Oryza sativa Japonica Group: one gene and its partner. The protein of the gene in region 2 interacts with the protein of the main gene of each other region in a biochemical or structural test. Links are inferred from orthologs where the notes say so. Each region holds a gene or a part of one and is shown on either strand. Other genes may lie near its edges. The genes, in order: bZIP transcription factor ABI5 homolog and E3 ubiquitin-protein ligase KEG.

The links.
Region 1: the proteins of E3 ubiquitin-protein ligase KEG (region 2) and bZIP transcription factor ABI5 homolog form a complex in vitro, tested with the Arabidopsis thaliana proteins (2 studies listed by BioGRID, with this or other methods). The link is inferred for Oryza sativa Japonica Group from reciprocal best matches to the Arabidopsis thaliana genes KEG and ABI5.

Annotation. Positions count from the first base shown.
Region 1 is NC_089035.1:37,800,195-37,804,176, reverse strand, and holds bZIP transcription factor ABI5 homolog, read right to left. Parts: upstream 2,666-3,982; 5' UTR 2,618-2,665; coding exon 1,646-2,617; intron 1,558-1,645; coding exon 1,486-1,557; intron 1,363-1,485; coding exon 1,333-1,362; intron 1,191-1,332; coding exon 1,098-1,190; 3' UTR 803-1,097; downstream 1-802. UniProt on the Arabidopsis thaliana protein: Participates in ABA-regulated gene expression during seed development and subsequent vegetative stage by acting as the major mediator of ABA repression of growth.
Region 2 is NC_089039.1:19,166,428-19,170,702, forward strand, and holds the start of E3 ubiquitin-protein ligase KEG, read right to left. Parts: upstream 2,999-4,275; 5' UTR 2,727-2,998; coding exon 1,963-2,726; intron 248-1,962; coding exon 1-247. UniProt on the Arabidopsis thaliana protein: Mediates E2-dependent protein ubiquitination. Acts as a negative regulator of abscisic acid signaling. Required for ABI5 degradation, by mediating its ubiquitination.

The DNA of each region.
Region 1 (3,982 bases), on a different chromosome or scaffold from region 2:
CCATGGGAAAAGAAACACTGAGGAAATATTTTTTTATAATAATTGGTGGCTCACATATTAGCACTACTTAGAGAAAAAAATACAATAAACTTGATTAGAGATTGTGTCGATAGCAAACTCTTCGGACCACCAGTAATCACTACCTGCCGCTCCACGGACCGCCACCACCGCTCTTTCTCAATGAGACCACCACCGTCCCTCCGCTTCGTCTTTGCATGTCCAGCCACACCCTCTAGTTATCAATATATTTTTTTATTCTCCCGTCGTCATGCACGCTATTGTTATGGTGGTCATTGAGATTGAGAGTATTAGACTTGTAGAGACTTGGAGAGGTAGGAACCAACACGAACACGAGTGGAGACGCTAAGCCCGATGCTGGCAACCTCGTGCTTAGGGATGTAAGTAGGTAATCCCGCTACCTGCATAAAAACCTGCTTGCTAGTTTATTTTTTTTATAGTAGTACAAAATTTAAAAAAAAGATAGACTAGAAGTGGGATAAGCGGGAAAAAAACCCGCTTGCCTGTCCCGCTTGCATCCCTGCTCCTGCTCAAGCGACGGCAACACGGCGAGATTAACCGAGGATCGGGGAATTCCCACAAACTAGCAAACCGTGTAACCTCGCGTCAACTTTTCCATCGGATCATAGAAGCCGAACTTTTCGCCATCGCAAAGCCCAAATCATCATCAGCTTGTTTCGGTTTCCAGTTTATTCGGCCAGAAATTTGGGCCGTAATCGATACTACCAAGGTTTGCCTATACTGTAGCTTTTCTTTTTCCAGCGCATATGACATGAGAACAAACTTACAGATACAAACTAGTATACTATTGTATAATTTTATTCATCGTTGTTTTGTACAAACAGCGACATGTAACCATATAAGCAGCAAGGACCGGTGAACACGATGGCAAGACATGTGGGTCCAGGCAGGTTTACAAGCATCACAGCATATATGTATATCAACTACTACCATAATACCTTCACATCACTTAGTCTGAAAGAAGACTTAATGTGCAAATCCTCTTCAGAGCCTCAGAGGCTAGTGCCACACCAGAAGCAGGATGAGTGTGCCACTCGCCGGTCACCGCTATGCCCGTTTCACCACATGCAGCTGCCGCTGCGGCGCAGCTGGCTGCCACCCCTATTTGCATTCATCTTCTCCTTGGACTGCTCCATCATTTTCTCAACCAGCTGAAAAATCACAGGAACACGACATATTTCCATGAGCATATATACACACACAAATAAATGAATAACAAATATGTATTTAATAATTTCACAAAACGATGAGCACTATGCGGAATGGGGATTGCCACATGGGAGAGGACAATACCATTTGCTTCTTTGTCAGTAGAACCGTCTTCTGTAAAAGGAAGATAATATAGACATTGTATATTTATCAGTTCAATGTTACAGAAAAGGAAGGAACGAGACTGTTTAGGAATGACAATGAAAGCTGAGTGGATAATGTTTCTTGCTTTAATACCTCTGCCTCTTTGAGACGAGCGTTCTCCTGCTTGAGATAGTTCAGTTCAGCTTCGAGCTCCACCGTATAAGCCTGTAGCATTATTCATAAAAATTTCAATCTCCATGCAAAATGTCTTAACGATACATAGAAACTAAAAGGTTCGGAGCAACATGTGTACCTGCTTTCTAGCACGGGACCGTGCAGCTGACTCACGGTTCTTGATCATGCGCCGTTGGCGGCGCTCCACCGTCTTCTCGGCGCAGCCATCCTCTCTGTGGGGACGCTTTCTTGTTCCATTCTCAATCATCATCCCATTCCCAATACAATTCATCATATCAGCATGTGTCATGGCACTCATCCCATCTGATGATCCAGGACTCACGACAACCATGGCACCTTGGGCGGGAGGTGGCGGTGGCACAATCGCCATCCCGTTGTACCCACCGGGGTACCCCATGCCATCACCCATCACCGGATACATGGCGTTTACCGGTCCTACTGGGAACATCATAGGACCGCCTTGGCCCTGCTGCATGGGGTTCACCGGCCCGTTGACCATGCCAGATCCCATGGCCGCTTGCCCGGTAAAGGACCCTCGGACCACCCCGGCCTTTACCAAGAAATCCTCAAGTGTCATCTCACCTAGTGTTACCTGTCGGTCGTTAGCTGCAACACCACCGCTCCCGGCATGTGGCTGGAGCGCGGAGGCCGGAGCGGAGGTGTGTGCAGGGGCTTGGTTGATCTCAGTCCACACCTCCTCCACCGTCTTCTGGCACAGCGGTAGCGGCAAGGAAAATGATCCCTGCCGACATAAACCGCTTCCTCCTGCATCACCGCTTCCGCTTCCACTGTCTACCACCTTGGCTTCCTCCATGGCACCCTTGCAACCTCCGGTGGTAGCCTGGAATTCTTCAGCATTCCATATGTTAGCCACAAACTCGTCCATGTTCATGGAACCAAAGTTGCGTCCTGGCTCACACAAGGAGTTTTGTAGCTCTTCCAAGGTGAGGGAGAGGATTGACGACTGCCGCGCCAGTGGAGCAATTTCCTCCTCCCCACCTACTTTTGTACCACCACTTTGGTCACGCTCCTGTGATGTAACCTCTTGATCATCGGTGACCTTCACGTTCTTGCTCATCTCCGATGCCATCTCACTATAACACTCAATTTGTAAAGTTCTATTAAATTTTCTAGGTGTGTCCCTTCAGCTATGGATGCCACCCCTTTTTATAGCCTGTGATGCAAAAACGAAGTTGGCTGTTAGAACATAGAAGAGGGTTGAAAGGTGTAACATGACTGCATCCAAAAAACTTAAGGTAGGTGTGTTGTTTGTCATATGTACTTTATTAAAAGAGTGTGCAACTGATGATGTGCTTGGCTTGAAGTTCTAGGCGATTACGTATGGATGGTAGATAACCAGATAAGCACTCCCAAGTTTGGAAGTTGGCTTATGCCTTATTTTCTTGATGAATCTTTCATACTGCTTTATTTTAACATAGATGATATGGAAAAAATGTGTTGCTCACATGAATGCTACATATATGGATGCCTTGAATGCATAGAGAACGTTACTGGCATAATTTGCGTAGGGCGAAATTACTCTCACCATAATTCACACGGTGTTGAAGGTTTTCAGGCATAGCATCATTCGGATGGAGGTATACCTTGGACTCACCCTCTTTTTTTCTGGACTTCAAGACACTGATGAGGTACTAATATAAATATAATTACACTATCATTTAACGTTTGCTGGCCATTTGACTAGACATCTGAAATAGCTGAAGTGGGTATTAGTTTAAAGTGCTTGCTTCATACAAAGTGTATTGGGTTCAAATACTTGGTCAAGTGCATTGAATTGTTGGTCTTGTTTGGTATTGCTAAACTGTCGCAAGTATACTCCCTCCAGTCATGAAAATGTATCATTTTTTAAAATTGGCACAATTTACAAAAATCAACTTTGACTACTTATTTTCTTTGTATAATTGAAAAATCTAGTACATATAATAATATGATTTTCTTGTGACCAACCGAAATAGTACTGAGATGTCGCATTATATTTTTCTAAAGATTAACGATGTACATCCAAAAGTCACACTATGGGACTATAGGTATATGACACAACTAGAGATAGGTTTGCCAGGTAATTCATAAAAAAATATATGCATACATTTTGCTAGCTTGAAAGTTGGATATTGACAATATTGCTGGTCTTTCAAACAATATTTATAACAGAAGTAATTAACAATCATCATTGTAGAAAAAAAATGATATTTTTATATTTTGTTGTACGGAGTGGCATAACACCAGAGCACTACTTTTAAAGATGAAGATAGAGATTTCGTCATCTTTGGCTGCAAGGACGAAGTTTTGGTTGAACCAAGCCATAGGAGATGACGGGCGGCACCAGCACATGCGTGACTAGAGCAGTCTCATGGAGGGTGGATGCTGCTACACCAGAAGCGTCACCATGTTCGCAGATTGTGGTCAGTGGCGAAGCTAGAGCAAAACAGAGGGT
Region 2 (4,275 bases):
CTTCAATGGCACCCAAGCCTCAGGAGCTGTATAATTGGGGCTAAGAAGTGTAGCATCCAAGCCAACCATGTTGGAATCATCAGACACTCTACGACTAGTGAGGTTCTTAAGAATGGCCGAAAGACCATAGTCGGAAACAACTGCATGCCCATTTGTATCCAAAAGGATATTTGACGGCTTTATACTCATACAAACAATACCTGCTGCATGGAGTTCTGCTACTCCACGAGCAATATCTGCTCCATATCTGCAAAACTCACGCTCGGGAAAAATATAATCAGAAGATATAAAGACTTGAGTAAACAAAAGGGAAGGTCAAACATAATCAGACTGAACAAAAGGGAAGGTCAAACATAATTAGACTGATGAAAAAACTAAATCCTTTTGATGTGCTCAAGAATAATAACAACAGTATACTAGGAAAAATGAGGTGGCAATTCTTATAATGGAAAAATAAGTAAAGAAATTGGCATGCTGACAAAATAAGTTATTTTTTCCCTATGTATGGCATGGGCTATTTCATGCACTTAGTACAGAAGCAATTCGCGCCATGTAGCTACCAGACAAAAGAGAAATCTGAGTTCAGAATTTTATGAGTTATGAGTCATGGACACTTGTGATTGTATATCACATTCTATTAGACAACTACAGTTCACAAAGTTCCACCAAACTATAACAGAAATACAGGATGCTCAGAAATTAATTTGCATCGTTAGTTTGACAATGTGCTGATGAACTTTGACCCACATTTGTATTGGCATTCGCATCAAATGCTACCAGAGTGTGTTGAGACAAAGTGCTTCTTGTTAGTAAAGCTAACTAGCCCGATTCGGCCATTAACTTATGTGGCACCAAACTCCCTTCTTCAAAAAGAGTAAAAACATGTATCAAATTGTTTAGATCACAGGATAATCATTTCTTATTCTTTTTAACCCATGGACTAATGGTACAGTTATTTGATATCCGTTGCAGCACACAGTGAGTGTGCTATTATAGTAAGAAACTCTACATCAGGTAAACACAAATGAGTGGCCCACACTATTCCACTGCACAGAAGTATTCAACAGATCTTTGGAAACTAAAGTTTGAGTTGAGAGGAACAGAATTAATGCAGCAGTGAACAACCATCTTTGCTCCAATCCCTCCATTCTAACAGCCATATGAGTTATATCTTTTATGGAGAAATGTCCAGGGTGCCAAATATTACAGATATGAACCAGAAAGTGTTGGCATTTCATTCGTCGCCGTCACGAACCTCACAATATTCTAGGAATTATAATTTTGGGAATAAACGATTGCACATTGTATAGTACAAATTCATAGCACATACAAGTGATCATTTTGTTCACAAATTAAAGAGAACTCAAGCTCCACATGTAGAATGATTGATGTGTGTTAAATCAACAAACCAATTGCAAAACAAAACTATGTTATTCACTGGACACTGAACTTCCTGAGCAGCCTGGCTTGAATTTTAATCGTAGTACAAAGAGTGATCTTTCATTCCTCCAAGCACTAAGTGTGATAATTGTTAATAATAGACCTAAGCACTATGTCACAACACAACAAAAGATGCAGGACAGATGGAATAACAAAGCTGCCGACAATCACCCAAACATTGCCGAACACGTACAAATACTACAAACTCATTGAGATCAAATTTGGCACTACTAATCGCAAAAACCGCTTTCCACGTCAGTACTCAAACTACAACATTTTCCACCTTTTATGATCCTTCTAGCTAGACATGCAGCTTAGCGAACCACCATTGAAACCCCATGCATTTGAACACATACAGTTAGCGGACAAACTGTCGTATAGCGCCCCAGCTCAACTGTATTTTTAGGGTTATCATTTTCGGCGATCGATAGTTTGATAGCAGCAACTATAACCATACATGACTGCAGCAAATATAACCACGCAAATAAAACTTAGTATCCATGTTTAGATGCAATGCCACACCTGAGGATCTGCTCCAACGTTAGGCGACCGCCATTCTGCCGCATTTCTGTCTGCACAGACCCCGCGTACCGATCCATCACGAAGCAGAGGTGCCCGCCGACCCTCACAGCACCATGGAACGTGGTAACATTCCGGCACCACGTCGCGGCGCGCCTCAGCCGCTCCACCTCCTCCTGAACGCCCTCAAGCACATCCCCCGCGGTCACGGGCACCCTCTTCACCGCCACCGGATGCTTACACCTCTTGGCCCCACCTCCCCCACCACCACGAGACAGCGTGCCGGACCACACCTCCTGCCCCGCGGGGCCCGGCGGCCCGCTCCCGATGCGGCGGGCGAGCTTGAGGTCCGGATGCGAGGCGAGGTCGAACGAGGCGCAGCCCGCGGGCTGCAGCGACGGCGCCGCCGCCCCCGCCCCCGCCCCCGCGGCGGAGGATCGGCGGCTGGGCCGGCCGAAGAAGTCGTCGTCGTCGTCGTCGGAGCCGTCGGAGGAAGAGCCGCCGGAGTCGGAGTGGAGGAACGAGGGCGACGACGGGGACGACGACAGCAGCGAGAGGATGGGGAAGTTCTTCCGCAGCGCGGAGACGGAGTTGCCGACGGCGGTGGGGTGGCGGCACCGCGGGCACGCCAGCACGGCGCCCGCGGCGTTGGCGAGCATCCGGGCGAGGCACGCGCGGCAGAAGCCATGGCCGCAGTGGAGCAGCAGCGGCGCGCGCTCCTCCTCGTCGTACCGCACGTGGCACAGCGAGCAGCACGGCACCCGCATCGCGGCGCGGCGCGGCGCTGCCCTAGCTAGGGCGCGGCGCGGCGCGTCGGGGAGGAGAGAAGGGGTAGATCTGGGGGGGCGGTGGTGGTGGGGAGCGGCGGTGGGGAGGGGAGGGGGGGGTTTGGGAAGGAGGAATGGGATTTTTTGATGGGGGGGTTGGTGATGATGATGATGATGATGATGATGATGATGCGGTGGGAGCCTAGGAGGGACGACAAGCAAGGCTCTCTCCTCTTCGCTCTTGGGAGGGGAGGGGTGTGCGGTGGTGTGTTGGCCGTTTCTACTTTCTGTTCCGGTTTTGTCGAGTGTTCTCGCCTTCTCGGGGGGATTTTGGGCGATGTTGGAATAAGTTCTCCTCTTTGGTTTGGGATTTAGTACTTGAGTCATGTTCACTTTGATGTCATTTTCAACCTTACCAAATTTTAATAAAGTTATCAAAAAAGTGGCTACATTTAATTTGCTGTCAAATTTTGGTAACTATATAAGAAATCCTGTCTTGCCAAAATTTTGGCAACTATATTAAAATTTTGGTAATGTCAAAATTTAGTAAGGTTTTTTTTGGCATCAAAGTGAACAGGTCCTTGGTTAGTGTGAATGAATAACTAAAAGCAACTTTGTTATGTTCTCTTTTTTATTTTCTTTTTTTTGGCGAGCTAACTTGCCACACCGATCAAGAAAGGGCTGAGCTGACGGATAGACCGGTTTGGAGCTTGCTTGTCCTAGATGTGCTTCCCCGCAACGTGCCCGTACACGCTATATGTAGTTTCAGTGATATGCTAACTTTTTTTTTTACCGATCGTTTGGTCCACGGAGTGATATGATTCTCTTTGTTGGTTAGATAGGTATAATGGTCAAATAGGCAAGATGTTGTTTTGATAATTATTTTTTCCAATGTATGGCCTCATCCTTTGCCCTACGGCTTATAAGCTAAAGCCAAAATTTAAATTTTAAAACTTGATTTTGAATTTGATTTTGATTCTATTTTAACATAGTTTTTTTCAACTTTGGCTTTTCAATCGGTAAGAACAATATATAAAACTTTTACTCGCATATTATTTCTTAATCGTTAAGAGCAAGCTTAATAGTATAGCTAACTACTAGCTCCAAATCTTCTATAGCCAATGTAATAGACAATTCATACAATAGCTGCTTACTACACTATTAATACTTAGTCCCACCTGTCATACACATATTACGTCTTGGAGTCCGTGTTGCAGCTGGCTACAGATCTGTAGCCCGCTTCCCTTATCTCTCTTCTTTTATATTTTTAAAATATGTTTATAGCTAGCTTATAGTCTGCTATTGTACCTGCTCTAATAAGCCGTTATGGCTTATAATAAGACTAGACCAACCGATGGGGACCGTAGTTATTGTAAGTATAGGAGTAAAGCCAGGTATAGTATTTTCAAACTTGAGAAAAAAAATGTAAAAAAAACGTACTACTAAGGTTGTGTTCGGTTCTATGGGTTGGGAACCCATCTCGCACGCACGTAAAACGGAGCGGTCTATTAGCGCGTGATTAATTAAGTATTAGTAGCCTTTTTTCAAA